Linked DNA regions of Sus scrofa. The protein of the gene in region 1 binds, or shares a complex with, the protein of each later gene. Links are inferred from orthologs where the notes say so. Each region holds a gene or a part of one and is shown on either strand. Other genes may lie near its edges. The genes, in order: SNRPD3, SART1, LSM5, GPKOW, LSM3, SRRM2 and EFTUD2.

The links.
Region 2: SNRPD3 (region 1) and SART1 share a complex: the UniProt entries of both Homo sapiens proteins name them as parts of the U4/U6-U5 tri-snRNP complex. The link is inferred for Sus scrofa from reciprocal best matches to the Homo sapiens genes SNRPD3 and SART1.
Region 3: SNRPD3 (region 1) and LSM5 share a complex: the UniProt entries of both Homo sapiens proteins name them as parts of the U4/U6-U5 tri-snRNP complex. The link is inferred for Sus scrofa from reciprocal best matches to the Homo sapiens genes SNRPD3 and LSM5.
Region 4: SNRPD3 (region 1) and GPKOW share a complex: the UniProt entries of both Homo sapiens proteins name them as parts of the minor spliceosome. The link is inferred for Sus scrofa from reciprocal best matches to the Homo sapiens genes SNRPD3 and GPKOW.
Region 5: SNRPD3 (region 1) and LSM3 share a complex: the UniProt entries of both Homo sapiens proteins name them as parts of the U4/U6-U5 tri-snRNP complex. The link is inferred for Sus scrofa from reciprocal best matches to the Homo sapiens genes SNRPD3 and LSM3.
Region 6: SNRPD3 (region 1) and SRRM2 share a complex: the UniProt entries of both Homo sapiens proteins name them as parts of the minor spliceosome. The link is inferred for Sus scrofa from reciprocal best matches to the Homo sapiens genes SNRPD3 and SRRM2.
Region 7: SNRPD3 (region 1) and EFTUD2 share a complex: the UniProt entries of both Homo sapiens proteins name them as parts of the minor spliceosome. The link is inferred for Sus scrofa from reciprocal best matches to the Homo sapiens genes SNRPD3 and EFTUD2.

Annotation. Positions count from the first base shown.
Region 1 is NC_010456.5:49,595,442-49,598,632, reverse strand, and holds the end of SNRPD3 (small nuclear ribonucleoprotein Sm D3), read right to left. Parts: intron 2,782-3,191; coding exon 2,589-2,781; intron 851-2,588; coding exon 789-850; 3' UTR 618-788; downstream 1-617. UniProt on the Homo sapiens protein: Plays a role in pre-mRNA splicing as a core component of the spliceosomal U1, U2, U4 and U5 small nuclear ribonucleoproteins (snRNPs), the building blocks of the spliceosome.
Region 2 is NC_010444.4:6,370,445-6,374,655, forward strand, and holds the start of SART1 (U4/U6.U5 tri-snRNP-associated protein 1), read right to left. Parts: upstream 2,899-4,211; 5' UTR 2,802-2,898; coding exon 2,489-2,801; intron 430-2,488; coding exon 372-429; intron 1-371. UniProt on the Homo sapiens protein: Plays a role in mRNA splicing as a component of the U4/U6-U5 tri-snRNP, one of the building blocks of the spliceosome. May also bind to DNA.
Region 3 is NC_010460.4:40,751,077-40,755,320, forward strand, and holds the start of LSM5 (U6 snRNA-associated Sm-like protein LSm5), read left to right. Parts: upstream 1-1,313; 5' UTR 1,314-1,406; coding exon 1,407-1,452; intron 1,453-1,463; exon of another isoform or gene 1,464-2,340; intron 2,341-2,455; coding exon 2,456-2,551; intron 2,552-3,386; coding exon 3,387-3,414; intron 3,415-4,117; coding exon 4,118-4,190; intron 4,191-4,244. UniProt on the Homo sapiens protein: Plays a role in pre-mRNA splicing as component of the U4/U6-U5 tri-snRNP complex that is involved in spliceosome assembly, and as component of the precatalytic spliceosome (spliceosome B complex).
Region 4 is NC_010461.5:43,188,920-43,193,046, forward strand, and holds the start of GPKOW (G patch domain and KOW motifs-containing protein), read right to left. Parts: upstream 2,920-4,127; 5' UTR 2,861-2,919; coding exon 2,729-2,860; intron 2,656-2,728; exon of another isoform or gene 2,503-2,655; intron 2,008-2,502; coding exon 1,861-2,007; intron 1-1,860. UniProt on the Homo sapiens protein: RNA-binding protein involved in pre-mRNA splicing. As a component of the minor spliceosome, involved in the splicing of U12-type introns in pre-mRNAs.
Region 5 is NC_010455.5:70,345,870-70,350,118, forward strand, and holds the start of LSM3 (U6 snRNA-associated Sm-like protein LSm3), read right to left. Parts: upstream 2,812-4,249; 5' UTR 2,755-2,811; coding exon 2,734-2,754; intron 674-2,733; coding exon 563-673; intron 1-562. Other genes in the region: XPC (DNA repair protein complementing XP-C cells), read left to right, coding at 3,067-3,169, 3,463-3,606. UniProt on the Homo sapiens protein: Plays a role in pre-mRNA splicing as component of the U4/U6-U5 tri-snRNP complex that is involved in spliceosome assembly, and as component of the precatalytic spliceosome (spliceosome B complex).
Region 6 is NC_010445.4:39,289,069-39,292,730, forward strand, and holds part of SRRM2 (serine/arginine repetitive matrix protein 2), read left to right. Parts: coding exon 1-1,631; intron 1,632-1,647; exon of another isoform or gene 1,648-1,839; coding exon of another isoform or gene 1,840-1,958; intron 1,959-2,330; coding exon 2,331-2,615; intron 2,616-3,662. UniProt on the Homo sapiens protein: Required for pre-mRNA splicing as component of the spliceosome. As a component of the minor spliceosome, involved in the splicing of U12-type introns in pre-mRNAs.
Region 7 is NC_010454.4:18,508,766-18,512,427, reverse strand, and holds part of EFTUD2 (116 kDa U5 small nuclear ribonucleoprotein component), read right to left. Parts: intron 3,640-3,662; coding exon 3,538-3,639; intron 2,226-3,537; coding exon 2,143-2,225; intron 1,207-2,142; coding exon 1,120-1,206; intron 922-1,119; coding exon 795-921; intron 596-794; coding exon 508-595; intron 1-507. UniProt on the Homo sapiens protein: Required for pre-mRNA splicing as component of the spliceosome, including pre-catalytic, catalytic and post-catalytic spliceosomal complexes. Component of the U5 snRNP and the U4/U6-U5 tri-snRNP complex, a building block of the spliceosome.

The DNA.
Region 1 (3,191 bases):
TCTCTTCCTCCAGCACTTCAACAATTTGTTCAATGAGCAACGTTCTAAGGGCGGATACTCAACCCCTTTTCTGCTGGAGTGCATCCTTCCTACTCGGCACCCCAGTAGGACCTCTTTTTAGTGTGTGACCACTCCAAGCCATGGATCCAGTTTCTATGTTCTTGGTCAGCTACCTGCTCTGCACACCCTGACCTCTCTACTTACCTTCGCTATGTTAAGAACCTCAGCTGTGCCAGTCAACCCTGAGGTGCTCCGGTAAAGTGCCAAGAACCTGTCCCCTGTCATAACACTACATATGAAGCTGTACAGGAGTCTTGAGGTTCTCTGAACTACCTCTCGATACTGATTACTTTTTTGAATGCCACCAGGGTTTCACAGGCCAGGACCACGTGTGTCATGATGTTCACAAACACCGTGTAAGTGCCTGTGTCTAAGGATGGTGAGGCCATCTATGTTTTTGGAGCTGTTCCAAGGGCTTAACTAGCAACCAGCCTGGAACAGCAGCTTGCATTCGCTTATCAATAACCACTACTGGCATTTCCCCAGGACATCTCAGGGTGTCAAAGTTTAACCTGCTGCCAAAGCAAACAACAAAAAACTCCAAAAGGAACACAGTCTTTGTATCCTCAAAAAGAAAAAAAAAAAATTTATTTAGTGTAGCATTTCCCCTGATCTAAAGAAAAAGATGCCAAATAACCTAGGACATATACACCAGCACACACCTTCCTGCCTCACAACCAGATAACCTAAAGAAAACATGAGGGCAAAGTTCTGTCCAACAGATAAATTTATCTTCGCTTCTGGAAAATGTTTCCACGGCCCATTCCACGTCCTCTCCCTCTCGCAGCCACTGAAAGGTAAGGAAGAGGACAAGGCCAGGTCAGTGAGTCCTCCGCCAAGAGCAGCCAGCACCCCAAGACATCGGCCCAGGAAGGGGCTTGAAAGGCCACCCGGTCCAGCACCACGTCTGCCCTATCACATTTCATGGGGGTTGGGCATGGAGGAATGGAGACCCTGGGAGGAGACCAGTGTCTGGCATCAGAACTGGAAGGCCTCCCACCTTCCAACCCAGCACTGGTCCCCATGAGAGCCCAAGTCCTGAGAGCGAAGGTGTTTTATGAAGCCAGTCTAGGAACCACAGAGAAGCTTAAGTCTCAGAGCTGGCCCAGGGTGAGCTAATAAAACATGACAGATGCATTTAATTCACACTTAAAATTGTGAAACAAACATATTAAATGTTAACATCTATTGAATCTGGGTGAGGGTTTTTATTATTTTCTGAGCTATTTTGCATGTGTGAAATGTTTCATAATAGGAAGGAAAAAAACATAGACAAAAAACAAAAACCACTCCCCATATACAGGGCTCAACAAGACTGCTGTCTCTGTGACCCATGGGTTCTAGGAAGGGCCACTCCTTTGAAGAACAAGTGAAAATATCTGATGGCAACTAACTGCCCCCACCTCCTCTCATAGAGCCCGGAGCTGACCAGAAGAGGGAAGCCCTGTGAGAGCCTGGCCACTAGCTGGGAGGACCATAGCAAGGGGATGGGAGCGGCACAGAGGCTCAGGTGGCAGTCAGGGGGCCACTGCCAAGTGCCTCCCAGTGTCTTTTGCTAGGGAAGCTGGTACAGTTAGTGACAACGAGGGCAGCCCTCCCCTGCAGAGAGAACAGCAGTTCTAGCACAAAGCTGGCACTTCTGAAAATCACTGCTTCTTCAGGACAAAAGGTCCTGAGCTTCTAGTTCTATCTCCCTATGACCACTGCTCATCTAGGAAGGGCAAGGAGACTGTCTGATCAGCTTTCTGGAGGGCATTTTAAAGGATTACTCTGCTGGGTCTTTGAATTCAAAAGCTGCCTCACATAGAACAAATGTATAGCAGCTGAAGACAGTGAGGTGGGAATCCAGTGACCTTTCTGCACTGGAATCTTCTCATCAACACTAAGACTGCTCCTAATGACTGCACTGGCTTTCTTAGCTAATCAATAGGGGGAGCAGAGCTTTTCAGGACCCAAATATAAAACTGATTAGGCTAACCCAGAAAAAAGGTCAGACCAAGTAACCAGGAAGAGACTAGTCTTTCCAAATGCACTATAAAGGAAGGACTGTTTTCAAACATTAAGAAGCTTCAAAAATGTAAGTTCGGCCCCCTTTAATGAATGGGTAAAAAGATGGCTCACAATTCCTTCTCATCTGAAAATGGATTCCCTCCACATTTCCCCTATTGATGCTGGGAATCAGTAGACACCCCCAGCCTCTTGAGAAACTATTACCCCATTGCTTTTAGAAGTCACACTGCAAGGGGCCTCTGCTCAGCAAACTGGACCAGGGCCAACTTTCCCCAGAATTTCCAAAAACAAAAGGCCTCCAAGACTCATTACAGGACACATTTGCTCTTTCATTTAAGTCCTCATCTTTTTTCCAAGGAGCCGCCTGGGATTTTGCATAAGCCTGTGAACAGGATCAGGTGGCAGTGGGTGTGGAGACACTGAAGTCAGGTCACCCACACCTCAGCAATAACAAGGCCCATTCGTAAAAGGTACAGGACACACTCACATGTCACAACCAGTGCAAGAGGAGCACCTACCTTGGGCCTTCAGAATAGCAGCTTTTCCCCGACCGGCTCCTGAGCCTTGGTTTTTATTTTTCATGCTCTTTAACATGGGTGCGTTTTTCAGCATGTCAGGCAGAATCAGAAAGCGGATCTTGCTGCCACGGATATACACCTGCTCCAGCTGCGCCACTCGGCCGTCTCTGTATGTGACTGTGATGTTAGACATCTGGAAGGAATACCAGCTGGTGAGGAAGGGCCAACAGTGCCAGCAGAGAATAGTGCCCATGGAAGACAAACCTCGGCTAGTGGAAGGGGAGTCCAGAAATACAGAAACTGGCACCACAAAATAAAGCTGGGCAGACTCAAGGGCACCTACTGTGCTGAGCGCTTTACATATATGGTACTACTCATAGTAGCAGAGTCCCCTCCCTCCCTTTTTCTGTCTTTTTTAGGGCTGCACCCATGGCATATGGAGGTTCCCAGGCTAGGGGTTCAATCAGAGCTGTAGCCACTGGTCTACGTCACAGCCACAGCAACATCGGATCTGAGCCATGTCTGTGACCTACATCAGAGCTCACAGCAACATTAGATCCTTAACCCACTAAGCGAAGCCAGGGACTGAACCTGTGTCCTCAT
Region 2 (4,211 bases), on another chromosome or scaffold:
GACGTGTTAGAAGCCGTCGAAGAAATGGGGGCACCGAGTGCACTTCTGGACAGATGGGGGGGGGAGTGTGAAAACAGGACGGGGCTGAGGGTCGAAGGGTCCCAAACCGAGGGCCTGACCCAGCGCTCAGAAGAGCACTGGCCTCTGCATTAGGCGGAAGGCCTGGCCTGCCCCTACCCAGGAAAATGCCATCCTTCCTCTTGGGTCTGAGTGTCCACTTCTGTAATGCAAATCGTTGGCTAAGATGGTTTCTATGGCACTTCCAAATCCCAAGCAGAAGGCTCTACGATGAGAAAGCTTCACCCACCTGCTGCCCCCAAAGCTGCCCGTCTCAGAAGAAGACACAGTAGCATAAAGGTGACAGTACTCACTTGGTCTCCTCGATGCTGAGTGACGAGGCATCGCCCGAGCTAGTCTTGGAGCTGGCAGCTGGAACAAGAGAGAGAGAGGCTCAGGAGCTGAACACGGGGCCCAGAAGCCACTTCCTTGGCTCCAGCCGCAGGGCTGAAGGTGAGGGTCCCCCATCTGCCCCGAGACATCAGGGAACAGCAGCCTTCCTCCATCCCAGGGGCTCCTCCTACCTGACTCCCAGGCTGTCGACACACCTTCTGATCCAAAAGGTCCAACCTGCCACATCCTTCACTCTGCCACCTCTCCACCTCTGTGTATTCTGTTGTTACAACCTACACGGCCCTCTCTGGCCTCACTCTGATTAGCAAGATGCTATCCAAACGCAACAATCAGAGGCCGGAGTCCTGATTCCTGATCAGCACCAACTCCTCTCCCCTGCACTCCACAGCACGGTCACGGCCATCTCCAGGTCTGTTTTTGCTCACAGGGCAGGGCCCATGTTGGCAGCATATCTGTGTTCTCTCTGTGTAATTCACACAGTCAAAAAATACACTTACTGGCGCCTGTGCTGTGAGGATGCTACAGGAAATAAAGCAGCGCTTCTGAGCTCTTTCACCCACCTCATAAACAGCAAATGTCACACACAGAATGCCACACACAGAAGCTGGACGCCATCGGCTGGAGCTCCTCCCTCCAGCATGGCCACCTCGCAACCTACGTCTTTCCCTCCCACCCCACCTGGACCCTGACTCCCAAGCACCTCCGTGCTCGCTCCAAGGTCGCCAGCCTCCTTGTCTGTAAATCCGATGGATTCTCTGCCACTCTGGTTTTGCCTCATCTCCTGTGGTGTGTGACACCACTGATCACGCCCACAGATCCCATGACATGAGATGCTATGGTATTCTTGCTTTGGGGAACATCCAACCTCCTTTTTTGTACCATCTTGCTCCGCCTGCTACTAAAACGTAGACATTCCTGAGGTTCTGCCCCCGACCCTGGCTTCTCAATCCTCACTCTCTCAAGGGACTTCATTTGCCATTGAACCCTTATGACTCTCAAACTGCTCTGTCCTGCCCAAGCCCTGAGTTTCCCCATGTGCCTCATGCAACACTCCTCAAAACTGAATTCACTGTCTCTCTCCAAAAAATCTGCTTCTCTTCCAAACTCAACTTCCGTCGACAACACTACCACCCACCTGGTCACACCAGCCAAAATCCAAGGACCATCCTCAATTCCTTCTTCTCCTTCCCACTGTCATCCAAGTGCTTAAGCTCTGTCACCTCCTCCTCCAAAACACCTCTCCAATGGGTCAACGACTCTCCATCCCGCTGCTGCTGCCCTGGTGCCAGCCATGGCCAGTCCTTACCTCCTCTATGGGTCTTGACTGCTCTTTACCCAGTTCTCAACACAGTGTTCTCTGTGATAACGTGAATACGACTAACTCGCTCCCCAGCTCGAATTCATGGCTCCCTATTACTTTTGAAACAAAGTTCAAAATTTTTTGTTTTTTGTTTTCTCAGGGCCACACCCTGGCATATGGAGGTTCCCAGGCTAAGGGTCGAATTGGAGCTACAGCTGCCGGCCTACACCACCGCCACAGCCACGCCAGATCCGAGTTGCACCTGTGACCTACACCACAGCTCAAGACAGTGCAGGATCCTTAACCCACTGAGCCAGGCCAGGGGTCGAACCCACAACCTCATGGTTCCTAGTCGGATTCGTTTCCGCTGCGCCAGGACGGGAACGCCAACAAAATTCAATTATCTTAACAGGCTTGCAGGAGCCTCTGTGTTCGGACCCCTGCCTCATGTCTCTGCTATGAGCTCTACATAACCTGCCCAATACCAGGTGTCCTCCTGCCTCTACACACGATGGTACCACTCCATGCGTTCACTCGACACATTTAGCGAGTGCCTGTGATGTGTCAGTTAAGGAAAACAGAGAAAATCTCCACCTTCACGGAGTTTAGCAGAGAAAGCCAACCCTTAATCCCAAATAATCAAAACAAGACCCTTCCAAATGCGCTGACGACGGGCCTGGGGATGGCTGGGCCTGTGGGCTTGGCTTCCATCCCCGAGGCCCTCCACCCTGAGACCCTCCCCATCGCCCCGCCCCCTGCCCAGGCCCCGCCCCTCACCGGCCTCGTAGCCTTCATCTCGCTTCTCCCGCTTCACGCGGCGCTCGGAGGGCTCTGTCTGGCTACGCTCCCGCCCGTGCGTGCTGCTGCGGGCCTCCGCTTCGGCCCCGCGCCGCCCGCTCCCGCGCTCGCTCCCACGCTCCCGGCTCCGCTTTCGTCGTTCGCCACCGCTGCTGCCGCCGCCGCTGCTCCGGTGCTTGTGTTTTTTGTGCTCCCGGTGCCGAGGCGGCTGCTCGGTGGCGCTCCCGGTGCTCGCTCCTGCCGTAGTCCCGGCCGCCTCCTTCTCCCCGCGGTGCTTCTTTGACGACCCCATGGTGGTAGGTCCACCCGAGCCCCGCCGCCGCCGCCGCCGCCGCCACCGCCGCCGCCGAGCCCCGACGGCGCAAAATGGGAACACTTCCGGGTCGGGCCCGGCTGCGCCGTCGCGTTGCCGGAAACCAAGAGCGGCTGCTTCCGTCCTTTGCCTCGGAGCTGCCCCAAAGGCTCATGGGAAGGCTGGGATCGGGCCCGACTGCGCATTCGCGGCCGGCACTGGCCGAGCGGCGGTCTTTGACATAGTGGTCGGATTGCGCGTGCGCTCAAGCTTGAGGGGCGCGTTCGAGTCCGGGGAAGACCGTATCCCAGAATTTGAAGGACCTAGGGCCCATCTAAGCCAGCATGGCCTCCCTGGCTTCCCTCCGCTTGCACACCCTCAGCCACGGGATGCTCACTGCAGCGCCCGCCGCTCCAGCAGAAGTCCTCCTAGTAGACTCCCTGGGGTCGTGGCCGATCAGGTGTAGGAGGACGGAGCACGTTCTGCTCCTGAGACCCTCAGCTCCACAACCCAGCCTCCTCCCAGCCCCCACAACTAATATTGTCTGCAAACGCTGCCTTCCCACGGTCCCTGAATTGGGTTTTTTTAACGTGCGCTTTGACTGCTACGGAGCTCGAGATGGGCCTTTGCATGCCTGTGAACCCCTGAAATCGAACGCAAAATTTAGCACATCGGGGTGTGTGTGTGTGTGTGTGTGTGTGTGTGTGTGTGTGTGTGTGTGTGTGAGAGAGAGAGAGAGAGAGCGCGCTCGCGGGAGCTGCTGCTGCTTTTTTTTTTTCCCTCTTGAGAGGAGCTCTAACTTGAAGTTGCTTGAAGCTAAAATCTCAGTTTACACAGGAATTCTCCTATGGCGCAGCGAGTTAAAGATCTAAAGATCCGGGACTGTCACTGGAGCGACTTGGGTCACTCCTGTGGCTTGGGTTCAATTCCTGACCCAGGAACTCTCGCATGCCACAGGCACAGCCAAATAAACAACAACAACAAAAACTCTGTTCACACAATCTCTCCATCCCTCCTGACACCCCTCACCTCCCAGTTGCCCCATCTGGAGGCCCATCTGTCTGTGATTATGCTCCCCTTTAAAGTTCCGCTTTCCTCCCCCCCAGAACTGGGAGTTCCCAAAGGCAGAAGCCATTCTGTCCTATTCACTCTTGACTTTCTAGGACCCAGCATTTCTAGGGCAAGTTGCCGCTGTTGCTCTTGGAGATGCCATGCTCACACCTCAGGAGCAGAGGCAGAGCTGTGCACAGGGAGGGGGCAGCCAGAACAGCCAGAGTTCCTCTGGGATGTGGGGAAAGCCTGCTGCAAACCCACCTGCCACCGCCAGCTCCCAACACGCAGCCCCTTCCCACCACCAGAAATCTCACACTATTTTCCACAAAGCATTTAATTTTATTTTTAATTTTAATC
Region 3 (4,244 bases), on another chromosome or scaffold:
AGCAAGGCCAGGTCCTTAATCCACTTATCAAGGCCAGGGATTGAACCCTTGTCCTCAAGGATACTAATCCAGTTCCTTACCTTTGAGCCACGAGGGGAACCCCCAGAAAAGTATTTCTTTAAAGCTAGCTATGGGTTTGCAAACTTTTTTTCCTTTGGTCTTTTTAGGGCCGCACTCTGCAGTCTATGGAGGTTCCCAGGCTAGGGGATCAAATCGTAGCTGTAGCTTCTGGCCTAGGCCACAGCAAAGCAGATCCCAGCCACGTCTGAGACCTACAATTGCAGTTCATGACAACCCCGGATCCTTAGCCCATTGTGTGGGGCCAGGGATCCAATCCCCTGTCCCCAGGTACTGGTTGGGTTCCTTACCACTGAGCCACAATGGAAACTCCTACACTGAACCTTTAAAAGAAGGTAGGGGAGTTCCTGTGGTGGCTCAGTGGTTAAGGAATCCGACTAGGAACCATGAGGTTGCCTGTTCGATCCCTGGCCTCGCTCAGTAGGTTAAGGATCCGGCGTTGTGCCTGAGTTGTGGTGTAGGTCGCAAACGTGGCTTGGATCTGGCAGTTGCTGTGGTTCTGGCGTAGTCTGACAGCAACAGCTCCGATTAGACCCCTAGCCTGGGAACCTCCATATGCTGCAGGTGCAGCCCTAGAAAAGAAAAGAAAAGAAAAAAAAAAAAAAAAAAAAGGTAGGGAGTTCTCCTTTGTGGCTTAGAGGATTAAGAATCCAACTAGTATACCTGAGCGTGTGTTGGATTCCTGGGGTCGTTCAGTGGATTAAGGATCCCCTTGTTGCTGCGAGCTGCGGCTCAAACCCACATTGCTGTGGCTGTGGCTAGGCCGGCAGCTGCAGCTCGATTTGACTCCTAGCTTGGGAACTTCCATGTATCTGCTCTGTGGCCTTAAAAAGAAAAAAAAAAAAAAAAAAAAAAAAAAAAGCGGTAGATTCCTGTAAAAAAAAAAAGTTTTTGCTTTTGTTTTTTAACAAAAATTGCAACACAATAAAATCAGTGGCGGAAAAAATATTTATGTTGGTCTTCAGAAGATCCTTGGTTGAAATGAAATATAACCCAGGGAAAATCAAACGACTCAAACGTTTCTATTTTGCAGTCTTCCAGGTTGAGGAATATTTTATTTATAAGGCAAGATATCTTTAATTTGTCTTGGAAACTTGGAGGGCAAAGTATCTGCTGAGGCCGCAGAATGTTCAACGCACTGATGTATTCCCCCGGATCTCGTTGCGGAGGAAAGAAGTGACTCCGAGCGATTCACGTAGGACTGGCCCGATCGCACGCTCGGCCTCAGATTGGTCGAGCCTGGCCGGGCTAGGGGAAAAAAGCGGAAGCGCGCTCTTTCAAACTCGCCTTCCCAACGTCGGTAGAGGCTGGCCACTTCCGGCGTAGCCATGGCGGCTAACGCTACGACTAACCCGTCGCAGCTGCTACCTCTAGGTAATCGTTGTCCTGTGGGGAGCTGGGGAGGGGAGCTGAAGGGTTGCGGGCCGAGGGCCAGCGCAGTCCTTGACTGAGTGTTAGAGAAATGTATCTGACCAATTGTTTTCTTTATCCGCGGCTCTTTGGGCTCTAAGGCTCTGAGGCCTCAGGCCGCCCGCGTCTTTTCGGCGTGGAAGGGTTTTCTTGAGCCAGGACTTTCTGAGTTCTCACACCAAACCGTCACTGGAAAAGGTTCACACTTAGTGAATGCGTCGTCGGCCTTTTTTGTTGTGAGTTCGCCTTTACAGTAGTGGATAGCAGTCCCATTCTTCTACCTGGCATTTAAAATCCCTAGGTTAGACCCTGTTGTCTGTCTGGCCCGTTATTGAGAGAGGTAGCGGGGTCTGCAATGAGCTTTAAAAGGGGACACTGGAAATTAGCTCTGATTGTCATTCATTTATTCCACAAACAGTTTTTGCGCATCTGTAGACTAGACATCGTAACTTAGCTTCAGGTAGCATTCATGCCAGCGCAGGAGACAGGATGCCAGACAATTAAACATCATACCAAGTAACAGTAATTCTGCTGAAGAGATATTCAAGCTGCTCTCAGAGAACAGAGGATAGCCGTCTTGGGGCTGGGGAAGACAGTTATGTCTTTTTCTAATATTTTGTATCTGAAGGGTAATTAAGTTAGTGGACGTGGCGGTAATTGGAAAGTTTTTTCCTTCATTGAACAAAAAAAAGTTTCTTTTTAGGCCCGCACCCGAGGCACATGGAGGTTCCCAGGCTAGGGGTCCCATTGGAACTGTAGCTGCTGGCCTTCGTTTCTGCTGCGCCACAACGGGAACTCCCGAGACCTGAAGTTTTTGAGTGAATCCTTTTCTTGGTTTATCTTTCACCATATGTAAGTAATAAGTGCCAGTAAGTACTCACATATTTCTTGAAGTAATGAATGTGCAAAATAATTTTTTTCACCCCTCCCCCCACTTATTTTTCTTTTAAAAAACCTGTATCTATAGAGCTTGTAGACAAGTGTATAGGATCAAGAATTCACATTGTGATGAAGAGTGATAAAGAGATTGTTGGCACGCTTCTCGGATTTGATGACTTTGTCAGTATCCTTTTAAAAAGTGGGGGTATGGGTTTTTCTTTGTTTTTTAATTAAAAAAATTTTTTTTTGTTATTATTTTTTATGTCTTTTCTAGGGCTGCTCCCATGGCATATGGAGGTTCCCAGGCTAGGGGTCGAATCGGAGCTGTAGCCACCGGCCTACACCAGAGTCACAGCAAAGCGGGATCCGAGCTGCATCTGAAACCTACACCACAGCTCACGGCAACGCCGGATCCTTAACCCACTGAGCAAGGCCAGGGACGGAACCCGCGACCTCATGGTTCCTAGTCGGATTTGTTAACCACTGCGCCACGACGGGAACTCCATCTTCAGTTTTTTTTAAAAAAGTAAGAACTATAGTCAGTGCTTACTGATTATTATAATAAAAATTAATTTATTCTCATGGAATTCGTGGTAGTGTTTTAAGGGGTGTGTGTACCCCTACCAATCGCAAGCAATTTGAATTTGAGTCATTATGTTAAATGTTATTTTTTTATTTTTATTTTTTGTCTTTTTGCCTTTTCTAGGGCCGCTCCCTCGGCATAGGGAGGTACTCAGACTAGGGGTCTGATCGGAGCTGTAAGCTGCTGGCCTACGCCAGAGCCACAGCAATGATGTATCCAAGCCACATCTTCGACCTACACCACAGCTCATGGCAACGCCAGATCCTTAACCCACTGAGCAAGGCCAGGGATTGAACCCGCAACCTCATGGTTCCTAGTTGGATTTGTTAACCACTGAGCCATGATGGGAACTCCCAATGTTATAATTAAAACTGAACAAAGACAGAAGCCAGAGTAAATTTAACATGGTATATATTTTCTTAACACCAAATTTCAGATATGGTACTGGAAGATGTCACTGAATTGTGAGTAGTGTTAAAAATTAAAGAATTGGGCAGGGGGAATCTCTCTTTAAGGCAGTTGTAGCACTGTTGAGTCAGTAAAATGATGTATGAGAAAACACTGCCTGTTTGAATCACTAACATAGAAATTTTATGACTGAGGTTAGTAAAATTGGATTGTAGGATTATTACCTTAATTGTTAGGAAATTAGTGGAAACAAAGCTTTAAGGTAAAAGACACTAAAAGCAGTGAGGGATCTTAGGGCTCAGATCAAAAGTATTTAATACTTTGAATTGAATATAGAAAATGTAAATGATGGCTCAATTATATTAATTATAAAGATTGTGACCAGTAGTAGATCTGCTTTCAGAATTGAATTGATTACAGAATGGTATAATGGATAGGAAGCAGAAGCAAATGAATGGTTAAAAAAAATGAGGATAGTAAACATTTTATTTCATATTTGATCTCCTAGGCAAGTTTTAGCTTTTTAAGTGAAGATCAGCCCTAGTGGATGTGGATCTTAGATGAGCCCGTCAACTCTATTCCCTGTGGGGAAGAATAAACCAATGGATAACTTTTGTCTCATGTTTTCATTTATATATAATAATTAGCCTTTTGGGGGAATCAAAATGTTGGCTTTGACAATCACTGTTTATCCTGACTTTTTGTTTTGTTTTAATTTTTTCTTTATTTTTATCCTGACTTTTTAAAAAATCTGTTTAGTGAAATCACACCAGAAGGAAGAAGAATTACTAAGTTAGATCAAATTTTGCTAAATGGAAATAATATAACAATGGTAAGATACAGTAAAGCTATTTTATTTAGATGTTAAGCCATTTTTATGGGGCAG
Region 4 (4,127 bases), on another chromosome or scaffold:
TCACTAATAATGAAAGCAATGCAAATAAATAAATAATGAAATGTTCTTCATTTAACTCATGGGTAAAGACCCCAAGCAAAAAAGTGCAAACACTTCTATGGTATGTTCTCTATGCCAGTTGCACATCTAAGCATTCCTTTCGTTCTCCAAAGGATTCTGTAAGGTAGGAACTATTTTTTTTTTTTGTCTTTTGTCCTTTGAGGGCTGCACCCGCCGCACATGGAGGTTCCAAGGCTAGGGGTCCAATCGGAGCTACAGCTGCTGGCCTACACCACAGCCACAGCAACGCCAGATCAGAGCCATGTCTGCGACCTACACCATAGCTCACAGCAACGCTGGAACCTTAACCCACTGAGGGAGGCCAGGGATTGAACCCGCAACCTCATCGTTCCTAGTCGGATTCATTACCGCTGCACCAGGATGGGAACTGCAGGTAGGGGCTATTTTAAAATCCATTTTACAGATAAGAGAACTTTGGTCCAGAGAGCCTAACTGGGCCGAGATCTAAAATAGTAAGTACTATGGATGATGCCCAAAGTTATTAAAGATGGAAGAAAATGGGGGAATTGTCCTGCTGCCGAGCAGGTTAAAGATCTGGTGTTGTCACTGCACCAGCTTGGGTCGCTGCTATACTTTGGGTTCAGTCCCTGTCCTGGGAATTTCCTCATGCTGCCAGTGCAGCCCCAAAAGAAAAAGAATAAGAAAAAAATGGGCACACTCATACACTGCTGATAAGGGCATAAATTGACTGAAAGTTTATCGGGGGCAGTATAATAATATATATCTCTTCCCTGATGCGATAACTCCATTTCAAAGAATGGATCTGAAGGAAAGAATGGAAAATTGGGGCAGGATGTTCTGTATGATAATGAGTGAATGTTAGTTATACTTTGGGTGTTTTTGGTTTTTTTTTTAGGGCTGCACTCACGGCATATGGAAGTTCCTAGGCTAGGGGTCGAACTGGACCTGAAGCTGCCGGCCTATGCCACAGCCACAGCAACCCAGGATGCCAGCCACGGCTGTGACCTGCACCAGAGCTCACAACAACTCCGGATCCTTAACCCAGTGAGCGAGGCCAGGGATCGAACCCACATCCTCATGGATACCAGTCAGGTACCTTGAGCCACGAGGGAACTGTTATACTTTGATTACAGATGTTTTAAAATTCTTCATGGCTCAACAGGGAACAATAGTTACAATATTTCATTAAATAGAAAAATCAGGAGTTCCCATCCTGGCTTGGTGGAAATGAATCTGACTAACATCCATGAGGACACAGGTTCCATCCCTAGCCTTGCTCAGTGGGTTAAGGATCCAGCGTTGCCATGAGCTGTGGTGTAGGTCGCAGATGCGGCTCCTATCTGGCGTTGCTGTGGCTGTGGCATAGGCCAGCAGCTACAGCTCTGATTCTACCCCTAGCCTGGAAACCTCCATACCATATGCCCTGGGTGTGGCCGTAAAAGAAAAAAAAAAAAAAGGTGGAAAAGAAAAATCAGTTTGAAGTGTAGGTAGGGGATATCTGGGAAATTAATAATATTCTCTATTTATTTATTTAGCTTTTTAAGGCCGCACCGGAGGCATATGGAAGTTCCCAGATTAGGGGTCAAATCGGAGCTACAACTGCGGGTCTACCCTACAGCCACAGCAACGCCAGATCCAATAGCCGTCCTCTGTGTCACCTCCCAGAGGAATATTATAGGCTAAATCCCAGACCCCTCAACACCGCCGAGCCTCGTCCTCCCAACTCACACTCACTCGCTGGCCCCACCCAGGGCAGTAACTAACAATCCCAGGCCCGCCCCCCCAGAACCCGGCTCCGCTCCGACCACGCCCTCTGGACGCCCCGCCCCTGTCACGCACCCTCCTTGGGGCGCAGGCGCAAAGTGGCGCCCGCCCTGCGTACCAGCGCCGCCACGTCCGCCGCAGCTCGGGCCGCCAGGGGGCGCGCGTCCAGCCGCGCCAGCCGCTCCCGGGCGCTGGGGCCCGCGCGCGGAGGAAGGCCACCGCCTGGCGAACGGAAAGGGCAGATCAACGCCCACCTTCAGTCTCAGCGAGCCCCCACGCCCCCCGATGACCGAAGACCTAGAGTGGCCATCAAGATCCCGGAGACCCGGGACCACTCTTCCACAGTTGCGAAGGTCACCGACTGTCCCTCGCTTGCCCGTGGACCCCGCCTGCCCCCAAGATATCTCTGGACTTAGCTGTTTAACCCCAGTATTCCCGGACCCCTCCGAACACCCTGTGGGCATCTCTGGAGGTGTCCTACTGCCCCCTCCCCCAACTGCCGCCAGAATCCCAGATCCCAAACTCTTCCCCGCCAGCATCGAGAAGGATCCCGACTCTCCCAGAGGTCCCGACAGAACACGGTCCGGCCCCTGTGGCCCCGGCACCCCCGGTTCCCCTCTAGATAGCCTAGGTACCCCTGCCGGCCCACGTAGCCCCGGATTGCCCCTTCCCATATCCTCGCAGGGCCCTGCCTAACCCCCGGAGGCCACCACAGACCCTGCCCGAGTGCCCAGGTGTGTCCAGTGACCCCGGGCAGACCCCCTCCTGCACCTCTCCCCGGACCCTCCTGAGAGCCCCCGGGTCTGGTGCACCGCTTCGCAGCGCGGGTGCGGGTAGGGGGCCCAGAGCCCAGCCCGGGTCGCTGGGGCCCTGCCCTCTATCGCCGCCGCCGCCGCCACGGCCGCCGCCGCCCCTTGGGCGCCAGGGCTGCCTTGTTTACCACCTGCCAGAAGGAAAAGGTGACGAGCAGACAGGCGGGGCGAGGGCTGGCAGGGACGCGTCCACTCGCTCCCGTTCGCCCCGTACCTCCTCCGCTCCCCCTAGGGTCTGTGGCGCCCCCCGCGCGCGGCTCCATGACCTGTGCTCGGCCCGCTGGACGCACGGACGCCAGTGGCGTGTTGGGAGCGCCTGGGCGAGCTCACCTGGCCGCCTGCCCGGGCCTGGACGCGGCTGAGGCCGGCCGGTCCCGTGCTCAGGCGCCCCAAGCAGCGCGGTGACCTACCTGGCGGCCCGCAAGGAGGCCTGGCCCAGGGAGGGAGCCCGCGCGAGCCCTTGGCCTCGCTCTGCCGCAGGCGCTGCCTCTCTTTCCCAGCACCGTGGGAAACCTCTTTTCCACCCCGGGGATGTCGTCATTCCACGTGGGAGAGGGGGACGTCGAGGCCCAGAGACGTTCAGGGCCCCTCCTGCGCTCTGACAACTGGAAACTGGATGCGGACCCCGAACCCACGTTACCCAGGGTATTCTGCAGCCTCCAGCAGAGCTTTGCACATCGTAGGCACTCAGTAAATTGGCGGGGAATGTGGGGCTGGGGGGGAGGGTGACCTCGGAGGCTTGGGGGGCCACGGGAGGGAGGCGTCAGGGCCCTGAGCATGATAGGGTTGGGGGATTCCAAAGGTAGGGAAGGGTGGGTCTCCTGGAGAGTGGAGGGACAGTAGGGGGCTGGACTCGAGGAGGCTTTCAAGGCACGTGGGTGGAGGGGACCCCAGGCAATGAGAGGGGAGAGAGGAGGCCCGTCCTAGGTCTGAAAGGGGGTGGGGGTGAGGGGCTCTGGAGACAAAGGCCCCGAGGGGGGAATGCTTGGGCACAGTGGTCCTGTAGTGGAAGCAGGAAGGAGGAATGGGGAGCAGGGAGAGAAGGCCTGTGGCCACCACTTTGTGGAGGAAGAAGCTGAGGGCGGGAGGGACCCAGGGCCCCTCCTCAGCCAAGGGCAGTGTGGGTCTCAGGCCCTTCACCCCCGACAGTCCCTTGGCCCAGTTACTATGTCACCATGGGCTGTGGACGGGCACACTGTGTCCTGGTGTCCATCCTGGCTGGCTGGGCCACCTCTCGCTCCCTCCTTTCAGGGTCCTGGCGGTCCTTGTCGGTGACATGGCTGAATGGTCCCTGCTTTCATTCTTCCTTCGACCCCATGCGCCTCCCATCTCGGACCTGCCCTTGTCTGAGGGGGACACACTGGACCCCCTTCACTGCTCTGCCCTGTTCTTGTGACCCCATGGGGCTTTCGAAGTTCCCCAGCTATGCCCACTGTCATTCCACCTCCCTGCCTTTGCCCATGCTCTTCCCTCTTCCTAGCAGACCCTTCACAGCCTCTATGATTATTACACTGTCATGATTACTGTGGC
Region 5 (4,249 bases), on another chromosome or scaffold:
TCGATCAACAAGTACTGCAACTCAGACATTCAGAACTCAAAAGTATAGCATGATCCCATTCATTTTTTAGAGAGGGTGTATACAGTGTAAATATATACATATAGACACATATTCATGTATATCTGTTCTGTGTAAATATACAGAAAAGATCTGAAAGACTATAGACCCAATAGAAGAAATAGGATTTCACCTTTTACTCTACGTATTCCTGTGTAAAATTTTTCACAAGAAAACGCAAATTTATATGCATGTCAGTAATTTAAAGAACATTTAAATAAGAATGGAGGACAAATAAATCTTATTTACAAATAAACAGAAAGGAAAAAATGAAAGAAATGAAAATGTTCTCTAGTAGACATATTTCCATTAAGAGAAAAATGTGTTAAACATATGAATAAAGTACAGTTCATTTGGTGTTTAGAAATACAGGTGACTTTCCACCTCCTCATCTATTCAAAACACTCTTTCACAGTGGACAGTTTTTACATTTCCAAGGGGTGGGGTTAGGGAGCAACATTGAGGAAATAATCTAATTTCAAGGTGATTTAATAAATTTACTCACATGTAACCTGCCTCGAAGCTCTCTGTCATTTCTCATTTTCACATAGATTCGCTCATCCAGGCTGAGTCTGATGAGATCCAGGGGCTCTTCTACAGTGTTGGTAGTTTGTTGCTGATAAAAGAAACAGGCTTAGTAATACAGTTCTAGAGAGTGAAGTTTCTGAACCAGCAGTGCCCTGTGTGACTGTGAGCAAGTTAGTTAACCCCTCTATGCCTCAGTCTACTAATTTTTAAAATGTGTGTAACAGGAATGCCTACCTAATACTACTGTTGTGAGGCTTAAAATACATATATGAAGGCTTAGAACAGTGCCTAGCGTATATTAAGTGCTGGATAAATGAGGGCTGAAACATACCTACACAGAAAGGAGCTGTACAACAAAATAATCATGACTGCACTCTCTTCTCTCAAAATCCAAACTGTCTGACCCCATTTCAGGGTATAGGGAGTTACTGTCTCAGGGTCTTCATCTTTCTTTCATGTTATCATTTAGCAATTGGAAGAACATACACAATGACTACCACATACTAAGTGGAGATGAATGTTTGAGGAAAGATTATGAGTGCAGTGCAGGAGAGGCTGAGTTTAGGGTGCCATCTGGCCAGTAAGATGATTATATTTAGCAGGCAGTATAGAAAAATACTGGTTGAAAGCACTGGCTTTGGAGTCAGGCAGTGTGGGTTCAACCCCTGACTTTGACATTCATGAACTGGGTTTAAAAACCATCTCTAATTCTGTTTCCTTGTTTACAAAATGAGGAAGCCACAATCTTCCCTTCATGAAGATGGCTAGGATGACTGGGGTCCATGTGGAAGGGATGGTTGAAGGGAAGGGTGAGTTGATAAGATTATTTAAGGAGAGCTGCTTCGGGGATTACATAGGGTCATTGGAGGAAGGTGACTGAATGTTACAGTCTCTATAGCCTTAAAGGGCTAGATGCAAAAAAGAGAAAGGAAATCCTGACCTCAACTGCTTCCATCTCCAGATCAACAGATGTTTGTTAAAGACCAGCTAGCCAGTTACTAGATCAGTGATACAGGAGTCAGTCCCTACCCTCAAGGAGTTCATTCTAGTGGAGAAAGGCATATAAGTAAGTAATCATAATACTGTAAGAATATATACATGACAGAGACCTACCTCCCACTGTCCATCCTTTTTATCCTGTAGCTTTAAGTACTGCCTTTTCAAAAGGCCTCCCAGACCATCCAATTAATTCACTCAATGAATATTTGTTGAGTGTTTCCAGCACTGTTCTAAACCCAGAATAGTGAACAAAACAAGACTCTTGCTCTCAAGGGACTCACATTCTAGCTGGGGGAGACAGACATTAAACAAGGAACCATATACTCAATATGAACAAAGAACATGCTATGAGGAAAAATAAGGCAGACTGGGAGAGTGCATTTTATGCAGGTGGCCAGAGACCTATTCTTTGATATGAGGTGAGATTTCAGTAAACAGCTGAAGCTGCGGCCTAATCCACAAAAACATCTGAAGAAGAGCATTTGGAGAAGACGGGACAGCAGGTGAGAAAGCCTGAAGGACCATCAGTTATTCTAAATACCAGCTCCCTGTCTCCTGCCTACCACATCACAGTTTCCATATGTTTCGCATATTTATGTTTACTTGTTATCTGTGCTCCCTCGAATATAAGCCCCAAGTTGGGCAGGTATCTCCCAAGTCAATGCCGATGTCCCTGGTATTTAGAAAGGTTTCTAACTATACAAAGGTGATACTCACTAGTGTTTGTAGACCCTGTAATCATTGTTGCGCTCAGTAATGACAATAACCCACTAAATGTTTTATTAGCCTTTCTATCAGAATCCCGAGAGCTCCGTGAGGCAGGCAAGGATAATGGTTCTCATTCTACAAATCAACGTGAGACTCAAGAGAAAGGAAGTGAGAAGAGTGAGGAATAACTAATTTTCAGGAGGGTTTTGAACAACAAAGGTCTCAGGGCCTGAGGCAAAATTCGGAGGGGGCGCGGTTAACCAAGAGGCAGGTTAAGGCCGTGATGACCCAGAAAGAGGCGGCGTGACAGGCCACTTTCTCGTGAGTTTGGGAAAAGCAACCCTGAGCTTGGGGAAAACAACCCTGGTAAACAAAGCTGGGCACACCCTGGCCTGGACAGGGAGAAGCCGCCCCAGAGCGAACTCTTCAGAAGATACTCACCTGGTCCACGTCGTCCGCCATGTTTCAAACCCTGCGCCCTTTCCGTCCTCTCGCGAGGGCACGAGAGCTGCTCCCTATGCCCACCCCAGTCTCCGGAAACGTGAGGACTCTATGCACTGGAAGTAGAAAGAGGTTGGTTTTACAGCTTCTTGCTTCCTGCAGCTTGCATTGGTCCCTTTGAGGCTGGGGCGGAGCTTCAGCCTGGGCGCAGGCGGGAATCTACCGGAGGGGGCGTGACCAGGCCCTGCACCGCCTGGGGGCGGGGCCGCGCGCGAGCTGCGTCCCGCGGAGACGCGGTGCGTCACGCTCTAGGCGAGTCTTGCCCGGGCAGAGATGGCTCCAAAGCGCTCGGCGGGCAGGGCGCCGCGGGGGCGCAAACTGCGCGGCCAGAAGGCCAAGGGCGAGGGCAAAGCCCGGCGCGAGGAGAAGGAGGCGGGTATGAGCCAGGCTGAGTTGGGGTTGGTAGGGAGGGTGGAAGAGGTTTGGGTGGGGGTAGCAGGAGGCCGGCTTCCTGGAGGTGTGAGCGAGGCATCCTCCCTCCCACCTGCGCTGGGGGCGGTGTTCCGGAGGCCTAGGGAGGCTGGGGGTGTGCACGTGCCCAGGTGCTCCCCGGCGGCCCTGCGCCTTTGCTCTCCTGGCCAGAGGTGATGCGCCCTGAGACGTTCCGCTAGAGCCCAGCCGACCGCGAGTTCCTCTGCGTAGCCTCTTTCTGCTCCTTTTCGCCCCCAGGATGCAGGCGGAAGCAGGGGGCTGAATATGTGAAAGGTACTGCTATTATGTTGTGTCGCCACGAGACGAAGGGACCAAGACTTAGAGTGCTGTGGTGTGTGGAGAGTCCCAGATTTGGATCCCACCTGACAACGTGCATATCGAGTAGGCTGCTTATATTTGTCATGCGCAAAGCAAAACACTTGATTTCCCCTTTAAACCTATCCCTTTCTTACTTTTACCCCATATCAGTCTTTGACCCCTTCATCACTTGTTAAAACAAACTCCTTTTCCCTCCAACACACATCCAGTCCTTCAGAAAGCAAATCCTATCAGTTTAACCTCAAAACCATATCTCAAATCTCTCCACTTCTCTGTTTCCATGGCCACATACCCTGTCGAAACCACCATCACTTTTCAGTTGAACGACTGCAGTTGCCTCTCTACGGGTCTCCCTACTTCTTTTCATCCCCCTGGAGGAGTTTTCTGTGCTGCAGCGCAAAGTACCTTAAAAAAAAAAAATCTGATTTTGCCATGCTCCCACTTCAGACTCTCTGTGTCTTCCCATTGGCATAACAGCCTCCAGATTCCTCACCTTGGCCTACAAGACCCTGTATGATCTGGCTGCTGCTGCCTCTCCTGTTGTCTCTTCCTAGTCTTCTTTGCCAGGTACCTTCCTTCTTGGCCTCCTCACACACACCATGTGATTCCTCACCTGAGCCTCTGCCTAGAATATTTTTCCATGGCTTTGCTGTAGCTGACTTCTCTTCCTCCTGGTCTCAATCCAGGTATTCCTTGAATGTCCTAA
Region 6 (3,662 bases), on another chromosome or scaffold:
ACCCCACTGTTGCCACGCAAGCGTTCTCGAAGCCGCTCCCCACTGGTTATTCGCCGCCGTTCTAGATCCCGTACTCCGCGTGCAGCTCGGGGCAAACGGTCCTTAACAAGATCTCCTCCAGCTATCCGCAGACGATCTGCATCTGGAAGTAGTTCTGATCGTTCTCGTTCTGCTACTCCTCCAGCAACAAGGAATCACTCTGGTTCTCGCACACCTCCGGTAGCTCTCAATAGCTCCAGGATGAGCTGCTTCAGTCGTCCTAGCATGTCACCAACTCCTCTGGACCGCTGTAGATCACCTGGAATGCTTGAACCCCTTGGCAGCTCTAGAACCCCCATGTCTGTCCTACAGCAAGCTGGGGGTTCTATGATGGATGGTCCAGGCCCCCGAATTCCTGATCACCCAAGAGCGTCTGTGCCAGAAAACCATGCGCAGTCTAGGATTGCGCTTGCCCTGACAGCCATCAGTCTTGGCACTGCTCGGCCGCCTCCGTCCATGTCTGCGGCTGGTCTTGCTGCAAGAATGTCCCAGGTTCCAGCTCCAGTGCCTCTCATGAGTCTCAGAACAGCTCCAGCTGCCAACCTTGCCAGCAGGATCCCTGCAGCCTCTGCAGCAGCCATGAACCTGGCCAGCGCCAGGACACCTGCCATCCCAACAGCAGTGAACCTGGCCGACTCAAGAACCCCAGCTGCAGCAGCAGCCATGAACTTGGCCAGCCCCAGAACAGCCGTAGCACCTTCGGCCGTGAACCTGGCTGACCCTCGTACCCCCACAGCCTCAGCCGTGAACCTAGCAGGAGCCAGAACCCCAGCTGCTTTGGCAGCTTTGAGTCTCGCGGGCTCTGGCACACCCCCGACTACTGCAAACTATCCCTCCAGCTCCAGAACGCCCCAGGCTCCAGCCCCTGCAAACCTGGTGGGTCCTAGATCTGCACATGCCGCAGCCGTGAATATTGCCAGCTCAAGAACGCCTCCAGCCTTAGCCCCTGCAAACCTCACTAGTGCTAGAATGGCTCCAGCCTTGTCTGGTGCAAACCTCACCACCCCTCGAGTGCCCCTGTCTGCCTATGAGCGTGTTAGTGGCCGAGCCTCACCACCACTCCTTGACAGGGCCAGGTCCAGAACCCCACCATCAGCACCGAGCCAGTCTAGAATGACATCTGAGCGGGCTCCGTCTCCTGCCTCTAGAATGATCCAGGCTCCCTCACAGCCTGTTCTTTCTCTAGCTCAGGATCGGCCTAGGTCCCCCGTGCCATCGGCTTTTTCTGACCAGTCCCGATCTTTGCTTGCCCAGACCACCCCTATGACGGGGGCTCAGTCGCTTTCCTCTGGGACTGTGGCAAAGACCACGCCCTCTGCGGGTGACCACAATGGCATGCTCTCTGGCTCTGTCTCCGGGGCACCCCACCCGGAGGGTGGGGAACCAGCTGCCTCGTCGGGGGCCCAGCAGCCTTCCGCGTTGGCTGCCCTGCAGCCAGCAAAGGAGCGGCGGAGTTCGTCCTCCTCGTCCTCCTCTAGCTCGTCCTCGTCGTCGTCCTCGTCGTCATCCTCGTCGTCCTCCTCCTCCGGCTCCAGTTCTAGTGACTCGGAGGGCTCTAGCCTTCCCACTCAACCTGAGGTAGCGCTGAAGAGGTGAGGGGCTGTGGGAACTGCACGGGCAGGTTTTGGGGGTGGCTGGTGGGGTCGGGAGGGAGAAGCCCTGTGCAGAGGTTCTTGGCTCCTTGAGGAGGTATGGGGACCCTGACCCTTGAGCTCGGGGTAGAAGAGAATGCGGGGCGGGGGCGATGGTGGGAGGGGCGGGACAGGTGAAAGTCTCCGAAGCTCACTTCTCTAGAGGATAATGATGAGTTTTCCGTCTCTACAGAGGACAGAACTAGAGGAAATGGACTTAATTTTACAGCAGGAGGGATGGCAGTTAGACCTCAAGAGGAACTCCCTGGGCTGGAAGGATCTTCAGAGGTCATCCTATCCCTCTCCCTGCCTCCAGGCAGGCCGGCCCCCCCCCAGCCAACCCGCAAACACACAGGCCTCCCCGAGCTGCAAGCTGCGGGCTGCGGCTCTCCTCTCCGAGGACGACCACCCGGCTCGGCCTCCACACCTGAGCCCAGGGGCCTAATCCTCCATCAGGGACATTCTTGAGGTTTAACCTTGATCCCTTTTGCTGCGGGCCCCAGCCTGTTGCTCGCGTTAGCGGAGGTCACCGGCTCAGGCTTGCAGAGCTCCCGGGGCCGCTCGCAGGCACCCCTCCCCCACTGCCGTTCCTCCAGGCCAAGGAAGGTAGGGTTGGGGCTGGGGCAGCCTGTCTCCTTGTGACACCCTCTTCTCCCACAGGGTCCCCAGCCCCGCCCCAGCCCCGAAGGAGGCTGTTCGAGAGGGCCGTCCTCCAGAACCGACCCCAGCCAAGCGGAAGAGGCGGTCTAGCAGCTCTAGTTCCAGCTCCTCCTCGTCTTCCTCCTCCTCCTCGTCTTCCTCCTCCTCCTCTTCCTCCTCCTCTTCCTCCTCCTCTTCATCGTCCTCTTCCTCCTCTACTTCTTCCTCCCCCTCCCCTGCTAAGCCTGGCCCCCAGGCGTTGCCCAAACCTGCAAGCCCCAAGAAGCCACCCCCTGGCGAGAGGAGGTGAGTGCTGCCTTGCTTGAGGTGGAAGGGGTGGGCCGTGCCCCTGGGTGTGAGATCCCTGCCGGGCTGTCGAACTCGTCTGTGGTGTCTGGTTGTACGGGAGGAGTTGGGTTCTCCTCTCCCTGCTTGTGACTCTGTGGTGCCCTGTTCTGGCAGAGGGCTGCACCATCCGAGTGGGTGCTCAAGCCAGAACGGGGAAGTCCTAGGTTCCTTCCTCTCCCTGCCCCTGACGTGCAGCCTGGTCCCAGGGATTCTAGCCTTTAAGTGTCCCCGTTGCTACTGCCAGGGCTCTGGTCTGGCCACCGTCATCTTCTCCCGACTCTATCCACAGCCTCTTCCCTGTCTCCCTGCCTCCACGCCATTCTCTTCCACATGTAGCCAGAGGGATCTTTGTAAAAGCACATCTGGTTACTCCCTTCACTCCACAAATCCTTCCGGGACGCCCTGTGGCCTGCAGGATAAAGCCCCACCTCTGCGGGAATGGCGTGTGAGGCTCTGCACCAACTGGCCTTGCCTGCCCTGTGTTCTCCTCTCCTGCCCGCCCCCACACATGCCCTGTGCTCCAGCCACACTCGGCGCCTTGCAGTCTAAGGAGAACCCCATGCCTTTGGACATGCTGTTCCTCCTGCCTGGAATTCCCTTGTCCGCCTGGTGAACTCCTCGTTCTGCAAGACTCTGCTCAAACAGCACCTTCAAGAAGACTGCCCTGCCCCTCCCCTTCCCTCCCCTGCCCCGTGGCTCCCTGTCCTGGGTCCCGAGACCCGCGTACACCGGTCCTGCGGGGCTGCTTCCCACACATGGGGCCAAGCGACCCTCTCTTGGCCTCCCTTCACCATCAGACTGAGCCCCTCCAAGGGCAGGGACTGTCTTTATCTTTGCCTCCCCCGCTGCACCCCGTGCCCTGCCTGTTGGGCACTCGGATGGTGTGTGGGCGGATGGGTGAGTGAGCGGATGGAGGTGGGTCTGAGGTTGGTCCCATGTGGTGTGAGGTTTGGTGGTCAGGACCTGGGGGGGGTGGTCCTGAGTGCTGGCTGGTGGGTGTGGGAG
Region 7 (3,662 bases), on another chromosome or scaffold:
CCTAGTCGGATTCGTTAACCACTGCGCCACGACGGGAATTCCTCTTTGTCTTTTTAGGGCTGCACCTGCAGCATATGGAAGTTCCCAAGCTAGAGGTCGAATCGAGCTATAGCCACTGGCCTACACCACAGCTCATGGCAATGTGGGATCCTTAACCCACTGAGCGAGGCCAGGGATTGAACCCTCATCCTCATGGATATTCATCAGGTTTGTTACTGCTAAGCCACTAGGGGAACTCGCCCATCTTCCTCTTGATACCCTTCCTCAAACACATCCCAGAAATGAGGAGCAAATGTCAAACTAGAGATGACGTCCATTTCTAGGAGGTACCAAGCGGCAGCAGGATAGGGAAGGAGAGGAAGCTGGCCCAGGACGTGGACTGGCCCTGTATGCCCCAAGCCACTTCTCCTGCCAGGTCCCAGAGATGAGCCCAGCCCACTACAGAGCCCCAGGTGCAAGGACCCTAGGGGACTGGGGTGGAGAAGGCAGAGGCGCTAGAGGACTTACACTCGTCACAGAGGGGCCCCTCCCTAGTTCCCCACTGGAAACCTTGAACGATGCTGTCCTTCACCGAGCCGAGAAGAGCCTTGTCCACCTGCACAAAACACGAGGGCCCTTCAGCAGTGACCCTGGCAACAGCCAAAGAGTTTAGAGGGAGGAGTGGGCAGGCACACCAGTCAAAGGGCACTCTCCTTCACCGGAAGATGCCGGATGCTCTCGGGGAAAGAACACCTTGTAGCTTCTCCCACTCGAGAGCTAGGAGACCGACGCGGCTCCCACCGCTCCCGCCGTACCTCAGAGGGCAGGGTGTCATCCACCAGGATGTTGGGGCCAGTGGCATCAGGGCCAAAAGCCCAGATGGAACGGGCAGCCAGCAGATCCCAGTCGTACTTGGTCTGGAAGAACTCGCCCAGCTTCTTCCTGGGGGAGGGAGGGGCCCGGGATGTCAGACAGTTCCGGGATTCACGGCTCCTCCACGGCTCTAGTCACCACAGCCTCGCCACACTGCACCCAGGACCGCAGAGAAGAGGAGGAGACCACACCGCTCCCAAGAGCGACGCGCTGTGGCGGAGAGCCCGCGGGGAAGCTGTCAGCGCGGGAACCCGAGCCCGTTCTCACCTGTTCCATGTGATCTGCACCACCTCGTTCTCTATGTCCTCGGCCAGGCCCTTCTCAAGGGGCTCAGCAATCATGGTGATCTTGTTCCTAGTCAGAAAGGACGTGGGTAACGAGGAGGGTCGCAGGACTATGGGAAGGGACGTTCTTAAGAAAAGGGGCACCGGAGTTCCCCTCGTGGCTCAGGGGTAACAAACCCGACTAGTAAGCAGGAGGATGCGGGTTCGAACCCTGGTCCTGCTCAGTGGGTTAAGGACCTGGCGCTGCCATGAGCTGTGGTGTAGGTCACAGATGAGGCTTAGATCCTGTGTGGCTGTGGCTGTGGTGTAGGCTGGCAGCCACAGCTTCAATTTGACTCCTAGACTATATGGGAGCTTCCATATACCATGGGTGCTGCCCTAAAAAGACAAAAGAAAAAAAAAGGGTGACAAAGGGAAGAGCTAAGGCAGTGACATCACTGAAAGCCACAGGGGCAGAGTTGGGCCAAAAGGACTCATCTTCTGTCTTCTGGGTTTTTTTGCCATGCCTACAGCATGCAGAAGTTTCGGAGCCAGGGATCAAACCCGTGCCATGGCAGTGACCTCAGAGCCACAGCAGTGACAATGCTGGATTTTTAACCTGCTGTACCACCAGGGCATTCCCCTGTCTTCTTTCATTTGAATCCATCACTATTTTAAAAAGTAACGTTTGGGGCAAATTTATTTTTGAAAGCTTTGAAAAGCATTTGTATATTACACAGTAAAACAGTAGAGGTGCTGCTAGGGAAAATTTTAAGACAGTCATGTTACACAGGGAAAAATGGCAATAAGAAAACGCACCCTGGAAGTAACTAAGGCAAAAAATTCCACAGCATGGTGTCCAAAGGCACAAGGGATGAGAGGGCTGGGGTAAAACTCCAGGGACCTGAGCACCCACAGCCTATGACTTAGGGGTCTCTACTGCCACCTCGCTCGTGATTGGGATAGAGTTTTGGGGAGAGGAACATGTCCCCAGTGAGTCCCAGGGTCACTAGGACTCTTGGCTTACTTCTTATTGGGAGTTTCAGCAAAGCACTTGAGGGAGGACGTTTCCACTACTGTCTCACAAAACGTGACCACGGGGTCAGCCACCTGAGAAACAAAGCAGACTGTCAGGTTCCCTTGACACTAGCTCTGCGAGAACCCTCATCCTAGTCAGCATTAGTGACAAGCATGACAGCAGGCTAAAGGCTGTACCTTCACTAGGAAGCCTGGAAAACCTGGGTAGTGCAGAATTTATGTTCCTGAGCCACTGGAGGAGTAAATCAGAGACCCCCAGGGTATCTCTCAACATCCATCATTCACTGCACAACCATGGGTGTGTGGGAGCCAGCTTTGGAGGCTGGCAAGGGCCTGTTCCATCCTCCACCCAGGACTTCTGCGCAGCACAGCTTTCCCTTGAAGCCCCCATGTGGCCCGCTTCTGGGAGACCCAGGGTCTTCCACAGCACCAGTCCTGGGCCAAGAGGAGCACCTGAGGTCACTCGTTGCCACCACCACATGGCCTTGGAGAAAACGTGTGTGTCAACAAAGAGACTGAGGGGAGTTCTCACAGTGGCTCAGAGGTTAACGAATCCACCTAGCATCCATGAGGACACCGGTTCGATCCCTGGCCTTGCTCAGTGGGTTAAGGATCCGGTGTTGCCATGAGCTGCAGCGTAGGTTGCAGATGCGGCTCAGACCCTGTGTTGCTGTGGCTGTGGCTGTGGCCAGCAGCTGTAGTTCTGATTTGACCCCAGCCAGGGAACCTCCATGTGCTGCAGATGTGGCCCTAAAAAGCAAAAAATACAACAAAACAAAAAACAAAGAGACTGAGGGGCTACACCAAGACTTCACAATGAATCCAGAAGAGCCAGTTCCCACTCTCTGCTCGAAACCATCTACTCCAAGTCCTAATCACCACAGATGGGTTAACAGCACAACTCTTTTTTCCTTTTCTTTTTGGCCGCCCCATGGTGTGCATATGGAGTTCCCGGGCCAGGAATCAGATCTGAGCTGCAAGTGTGACCTACACCAAAGCTACAAGCAACACTGGATCCTTAACCCACTGTGCCGGGCCGGGGATCAAACCTGCATCCTGGCGCTGCAGCGATGCCACCAGTCCCGTTGTGCCACAATGGGAGCTCCATAATGGTGCAACTATTTTCTTAACAGAAGGCTACGAATAACTTTGGCTTGGGAACCCTGAATGTGAATGTAGGACACTGAGAATAACCCCCACTGAAGGGGAAAAACCAGGTCTGAACTTTTCCCACAGATGGACAACAGATCATGCTTTTCCCACACGCATCTCCTCCCCCAACAACCCCTCTCCCCTTGGACCTTCCTGGGGAATCAGGGCTTTAGTCACTTGTAAAATCAGTCTGGAGCTGTGAGCCAAGCTCCTGGCCGAGCAGCTGCTTTACCTTGATGTCTATCTCCGAGTACATCTTCCGCAAGTCGTGCATCACACAATCCAGGTAGAGCTCCCCAGTACCCAGAATCACGTGCTCGCCAGACTCTTCCACCTGAAACACAGCCACCCAGGCGG